2 linked regions of the Sus scrofa genome follow. The protein of the gene in region 1 interacts with the protein of each later gene in a pairwise test. Links are inferred from orthologs where the notes say so. Each region holds a gene or a part of one and is shown on either strand. Other genes may lie near its edges.

Evidence for each region.
Region 2: the proteins of BCL11A (region 1) and NR2E1 interact in a two-hybrid assay, tested with the Homo sapiens proteins (2 studies listed by BioGRID). The link is inferred for Sus scrofa from reciprocal best matches to the Homo sapiens genes BCL11A and NR2E1.

The regions. Positions count from the first base shown.
Region 1 is NC_010445.4:81,204,297-81,207,954, forward strand, and holds part of BCL11A (B-cell lymphoma/leukemia 11A), read left to right. Parts: intron 1-644; coding exon 645-974; intron 975-3,658. UniProt on the Homo sapiens protein: Transcription factor. Associated with the BAF SWI/SNF chromatin remodeling complex. Binds to the 5'-TGACCA-3' sequence motif in regulatory regions of target genes, including a distal promoter of the HBG1 hemoglobin subunit gamma-1 gene.
Region 2 is NC_010443.5:74,283,633-74,287,290, reverse strand, and holds part of NR2E1 (nuclear receptor subfamily 2 group E member 1), read right to left. Parts: intron 1,833-3,658; coding exon 1,736-1,832; intron 1,350-1,735; coding exon 1,200-1,349; intron 945-1,199; coding exon 839-944; intron 1-838. UniProt on the Homo sapiens protein: Orphan receptor that binds DNA as a monomer to hormone response elements (HRE) containing an extended core motif half-site sequence 5'-AAGGTCA-3' in which the 5' flanking nucleotides participate in determining receptor specificity.

The DNA of each region.
Region 1 (3,658 bases):
TTCACAGGTGAATGCAGTCGTTTTCTTATTACGGCAGTGTAAATGTAGCACATTTTCTGTGTGATGTAGTAGCTTTCTAATTTATGAAGCCATGTCTGTATACTTAGAGTATATACATTCACACACAAAGAATGTGTGTGTGTGTGTATTTATTCACCTCTCCTTTTATTCCCAGGCACAATAGACAACTTAGTCTATAGGAAGAAAGAAACAAATTTTGTTTTGATCCATGTTTTTACCAGTCTTTTGGGGGGGTCGTTATTATTTAAGCTTTTTTTATGTTTCTGCATTAACTATTTATTTAACAGTTACATTCTTTCTAAGCTCACAGGCCAGAACCTTGGGGGTGTGTGTGTGTGTGTGTGTGTGTGTGTGTGTGTGTGTGTCTGTGTTTGCTGGAAGTATGAAGGTCAGACAGTTTTCATAAATATATGATGGTTTGCCTCATTGATAAATTTGCTTTCTTGTTGACAATTTCCACATCCACGTACATTTTAGGTGTGCACTTTTTTCTGGGCATTAAATGGAGGAGCCTAGAAATCCTTTCATAATGTACTAGGATGGGATGGGGTGAAGAATGTACTTCCCCCTTTTCTCTCCTTTCTGGCACTCTAATAATTATGCTTTTGTTTCTTCAACCACAGCCGAACCTCTTGAAGCCATTCTTACAGATGATGAACCAGACCACGGCCCTTTGGGAGCTCCAGAAGGGGACCATGACCTCCTCACGTGTGGGCAGTGCCAGATGAACTTCCCATTGGGGGACATTCTTATTTTTATCGAGCACAAACGGAAACAATGCAATGGCAGCCTCTGCTTAGAAAAAGCTGTGGATAAGCCACCTTCCCCTTCACCAATCGAGATGAAAAAAGCATCCAATCCCGTGGAGGTTGGCATCCAGGTCACGCCAGAGGATGACGATTGTTTATCAACGTCATCTAGAGGAATTTGCCCCAAACAGGAACACATAGCAGGTAAATGAGAAGCAAGGAGAAAAGCTGTTTGCATGTTTTCTTTTCATTTTCAGAGGCGCTGTAGTCAAGCACTAAGGAGTGGTGAAGTGCTTTCTGTATTTCTCCATGTGACTGTCCGTGACAGCCCTGTAATGTTAAAATAATCATTCCTCTTGCTGATGTCCAGAACACACAAAAATAGATATTTTCCACTTCACTGAGTCAGATGTAGGCGGAATAGGTTACACACACCTGATACCCTCTCTCTGGATCTGCTGACTCTGAATTTCTTTCCTTTTCCTCTCCCCTTCTCATTTTTAAGTGTTGAACCTCACTATACCTCGACCAGTTTCCAAGGTCCATTTCCAGTTGTGGTGGCAAGTCAGAGGCAAAGTGGCTGTCTAGGCATTTGTAGTTCAGCCAGTGACCTGTTTGAGTCAGAAGACCTGGTCAGGCCTCCCTAGGGGTGCAATTTGTTCTCAAATCTTCCGTGAAGTTGGGTGGGCTGGCGGGACGTTTTGGAGGGGTTGGAAAGAGTTAACTGAGCTTCAGGGCTAGCCTTGGATCCATATTGGCTGTCAGCCCGAATGGGGCTGTAATTAAACACAGCCCCGTGGTGGGATGACACCGTGACCTTGACTTTAAGATGCCATTTTCGACTGGCCAGGCCAGAGTAGAGAGGGCAGTTGCTGAAGCGCACAGACATGCTTACTCGAAAAGTTTAAGGGCATGTTGGAAATTTCAAAAGGTTGGTTTGACAGGAACGGCTGCTCCCTGCAGCCTGCCTCCTCAGCTAAATGATAAATGCTTCTCTGTGCTCTCTCTTGTCTCTGATGTGGTTTTGACAGATGTATCTTGATTTTGTTTGTGGTTTACACAACCACATGTCACCCTTACAAATGTCCAGTCCAGACTTCCACTGTTTCTGCTATACCACAATGTAAAAATTCTCTTGGAAAAATACATACACACATTCAACAGCTCGCCTTCCTTTGGTTAATTTTAGCAGAGAGGTAGTTAGGGGTGTGGGTTCTCAGCAGCTCAAGGGAAAAGGATTTAATGGCTAACAGAGGGACCTAAATCCCTACTCTAAGTGATAAACAGCAACACTATATAGTGACCCTTCAAACATTTTTTTTTTTTTGATGAAACAACAGTGATTTAACATGTAAGACAAAGTGGGTGGAGATCCTGTGGTGACAAAACCTGCATGCCTGTCAGTGGATCACTTCCCCCTATTTTCTCTGCCCCTACTCCTAGAAAGGCAGAAGGTTTGTCCAGTTTTAGGAAGGGTAGTGCCTGTAATTGTAATCAGTTGATTCCCTGGAACTTGTCCCTTCGACCTAGTTGAACCATAGTGGGTCAGTGGTCCAGAGGGGATTAAATGTCACATTTTTTCTCTCTCCCCCTCTGGAATTTGATCATTAAAATCAAACATGGCATTTCCTTCCTTCCTTCCTTTCTTCCTTCCTTCCTTCCTTCCTTCTTCCTGCCATGACACTCAGATACTTTTCCTCTAGGGAAATGAGAAATCTGCTACCAGGGAAGCTGCATTAACAAAATATTTTTCTTGAATCCACCACATGTAGCTTATATGACATGCAGGTTAGGATTTTATCCACCCCACGCCCACTCCCTGCAGCCCCTCTGCACGCCCCCCGCCCCGCCCATGGCAATGACCATCTCTCTGTGCTGTCTTGTGACTAGAAGGAAAATGAACAGAAGTATAAGGCATGATTAATGAAGCAAGAGCAAGCGGAAGGGGATTTGTCGTCTTCGGAGATCCAAAGCCTTTCTAAATCACCAAATATGGAGTAACACTTGCGTGATGTAACATCGTATTTACATATTGAGCTGCTTGTTTAAAAGACAAAACACAGTGTCTGTCAAGCAGGAATTAAAACCACACTTCTTACTGAGGTCCCAAATAGGTTATTCAGTTTCAGATTAACCAGCTTGAAAATTCTGTGCCTCTGTCCTTAGACGAGAAATCTAACAGCTGAGGGGAAGGCCCTATGGTGAAGGCTTTTTACTGTCACAGTTGTAAATATATGTAGAGAAAGAAGAGATATTTTCCTTAACTCTCTGCTTGTCATAAAGATTCCTTTTTTTTTTTTTTTTCCTAATGGACTAGTACAGTAGCAGAGCCCAAAGAAGCCCCCCTAAAAAGTACATTTAAAATATGTTTTATAGGGCTAATGCTAAGTAATTTCACTGAGATGAAAAGCTACGTAAGCTATCTGAGACAGTCAATGGGTGCACGGGTGCTGCGACCCAGGTGAGGTAAACCTTTCATGCACGAGTAATTACAAAGTCTTGATTCCTTTCATTGTGTTTAATCACCTATTCCCACCCTGGAATTGGCTGAACATAAATAGCATGGTCACATCTCAAAGCGAGATGTCAGTAACTAGAATCACGACTTCTCATAATTCACGGTAATGAATTAAGAGTTTCCTATGGTGAAATTAACATTCTACCATTGCACATAAATTAAGATGCCCTGGCTCTCAGGTGCCTCTGAAGCGAAGTTCTGAACGGCTGTGTACTCCCAGCCCATTTCTCTCGAGCACATCTTCACAATTCCAAGTCTGCTTTTCTTTTTATGGCGAGGAAGCAGACAATAAGAGTAATCATTCAGTAGATATTTGAATTGTATTGCGAAAGAAAGGAGAAGCACTGCTCTGGATTAGTAAAGAGATATA
Region 2 (3,658 bases), on another chromosome or scaffold:
GCCACAGCAACGCCAGATCCAAGCCGTGTCTGCAACATACACCACAGCTCACAGCAATGCCAGATCCTTAACCCACTGAGCAAGGCCAGGGATTGAACCTGAAACCTCATGGTTCCTAGTCGGATTCATTTCCTCTGCACCACAAAAGGAACTCCTCTACTGTTCTTTAAATGCTTGCCTTTTTCATTTGAAAATGGAATCAGAAAGTCTACCTTATGGTGGATTTGCCCATTTGGTGGGCCAGGAGGAGCACTGCTAGAACCCAGTGACTGAGAGTTTCTACAAATAGCCAAGAACAGCTCCTGCCAGTGGGCCTTGCTTGGCCAGAAGTAACCTGGTGGATGCTATGATTCAAAATGGTTCAACAGATACCAATCACCAAAGCCAGACAGCAGTCATGATGGGGTTAAAGACGACCTCTTTAGAAAATTCTCTGATCCTTCTACTTGGGATTGGCATTAAAGAAAGCTACTTGCCCTTACCAAAGGATCATGTGATCACTCTAATATATCAACTAACATACCACTTTAGCCCTCATTTTTCACCTTTTTCATATCTGAGTCCATTCACCTAAATGTGTACAGCTATTTTGATGGATCAACTTGTTCATCCAGGACAGCTGGAAGGGGTCTGTCAGTGCTTTCACTGTGATAATCTAATTTTATTTACTCCTCTTACCAACCCTTCGAAATAGGTGAGGACATAGATTCTAACTAAATTAACTGGCTGGCAACAGGATCATCAGTCACAATGCTTGAACTGGCTTTTTACTGCCTGCTCATGCATTCACAGCGGAAGCAATTTTCTTAAGTACATGTTCAAGGCAAACAAGGGTCACCTGGTGTGGATGTAGCTGTTGAGAGTTAGCTGAGCCTCATCTTGAAGGGCTGCGATGGCGGCAGCATTCCGGAAACTTCTCAGTTCAGAACCACTGTGTGTAGGAACTAGAAATGAAGACCAGGAAACTATGATAGGCAGCACACAGGAAATGCAGATGGGGAAAGCACTCTCTGGAAGTGGATGGCCAGCAGGAGAATGTGCAGGTCCCCGTGGCTATTGGAAATGGAGAAGCCAGACTAAGAGTATCAGCTTTCTTGAAAACCATCACCTCTTTTTGCCAGGGGTCAGTCTGGACTTGGAGGTGGCTGAATTAGGTGGCAAAACAGGGGAAGAAGAAACAGCAGTTTGTGTCTGCTTACCAGCTTTGAAAGTGACGATGCATTTTAGACAGGCAAATTCAGTAGCGTCTAACCGGAGCTGTCTAAACCGAGCCACCACCTCTTGTAAAGCCTGTATTTCAGATATGATCTTGTTCAGCTTCTGGGAATCTGTGTTGTCACCATTCATGCCTAGAATAAAAATATGGAATAAATGCTCAACATGAAGGGATTTTCATGATTTAATATTGATTTTTGACAAAATTCTGCATATCAATATCTATTCAATTGTCACTCTAAGATATCTGATTCCATGTAAACTGGCTATATTGTATGAAAGTTAATATAAAATCTTCTCTTGGATGATAACAAACACAGTAATTTGCATTTAAATAACAATGCAAGCAGTCATGAATACAACAAAACAACATTATTTGCATTTAAATATAGATTTATAAATGACAGGTATACTCTATTGTTCAGCAGGAATTTGTTATTCTTTACATGTTGTTCTTTTTTCAGTAATGTATTTTTATGGTAATTTCTACAACAAAGTCATTAAATTGTGCAATTCTTACCAGATACAGCCAGTAGGGTGTTAGCATCAACCGGAATGGCCCATTGTGCTATTCCTAGAACAAACAGTTCTCTCCAAGCATCTTCCAAAAGCATCAGCTGTCATACAATAGATGTATAATATAATATAGTGTGTAATTTATAAATTTATAAACAATTTCAATATGTAAATTTCCATTATTTTAAAAAGTGTTTTAAATGCCTGTCTTGTTAGTTTTTCCTCTGAATATTCTAGCTTCCCCTTATTTCCCCGTATTTTCCTTTTTGAAAAGGTGCCTATACTTAAGCACACACATTTGAGAGTCACTCTAATTCCCCAAATTTTGCTTCCCTTGGAAGAAGGTTTACCCTTGTTGTCCTTGCATCCATTTGTTCCTGACCACCTAGAAACTTCCAGGGAGACCTAGGCTCTTATGAAATGCTACCAACAGCTCAGCAGGTGGATTTCCCTCATAGAAAATGTTGATATTATCAGGGTTGAGGCTTCCAGGCTAAGCATGCAGATCTGGGCCCCTATCTTCCTGGAAGGTTGAGGGGGCTGGGCTGGGAGAGAAAGAAAGAGATCACTAATTCCCAAGAGACATGCAGGGAAATCAGGGTGTAATTATGTTAATCGGGTTTTACTGAGTTTACCTCATCTTACTGCCTGATTTTTGAGACTCATAAGTGGACAGCATCAAGGTGCTTGTCATTTTCATTCTATTAAAATGTGCTACTGAATATGTAAAATGAAAATCTGGCTCCTTTTCCGAATTAATATACTGGATTCTACTTCACTGCAGTTTGCTTGTTACTGAAGGGTTTCCACTGAAGGGCTAAGTGGCAGACAGTAAGTAAATTTTGTTTGGATTACAGAGTCTACAAATACTAGTTTTGAGAAAAAATAGCCAACTTACACACATACACACACACAGAGCAAATGGCCCAGGGCAACCAGTAAAACTAGTCAAAGATAGAAATTAACCATCCTGAAAAATCTGTTTTTGAAAAATCTCTCAAAAAACCAGTCAATTCTGGATGATTTTTGTGATAGGATTTTCTTTTGAGAGGACTGAATTGTGAAGGCTTGTAACCAAAATCACAATCAGACCAAAAGGTTTAATTTTCAAAATGTTTTATTTTTAGTTTCATTGTATTAAGTACAGAAAATAATACTTTAAAAATGCAAGGTAAACAATGTCTAATTCTGACCATGTCTGAAAGTCCAGGCCATGAAAAAAAGAACATCCATGCTAGGAGATTAAATGTTTTGAGCACATTGCCAGGTCTCTCTGTAGGAAACGTACTTCATATTAAGGGGCACTATTATGCTTTAATTAGGTATAAAATGAATTAAAGAAACAAATCCTTTGCTTTTAGAACTACTTATTAGCCTTTTGGGAAATTTGTCATTAATTTCCACGAATGCACTGGTAATAGCCAATGGTTGTGAATACTTCATTTTCTTTCTTTCCCTTAAGGGTAGAAAAATTCTGGCACAGGCCACTTCTGACATTCCTAACAACAAAATTTCTGAGTTTTGATATGATGCAATTTTAAAGGCACATAGTTTTTTCCTCCCTCTTAATGTCATTTACAACCACAGGATTATGTGTCAGGCCTACTTGTTTACAAAATCTCTCAAAGCACTTAATGAATCAAGGGAGGTGTGCAATGCACCCTTTAATTCTGTATGCTGGTAAATCAGTGGCCAAAACCAAGCATCACAATGGAAAATATAAAGCTGTGAATATAAAATAATGAGACTAATTCATAACATCTTACAGGGGAATGCTCTCATCACCTTCTGTTTCTCTCAGTTCCAGTGTTCATAAGAAAACATTGTTTTATTAACAATTTTAGAAATCATTAGATTTTTAAAAATGTTTGATTAAATTTGACATTTCAACTAAAATAAAAAAAAGATAAGGATCTTTTTGTGTATT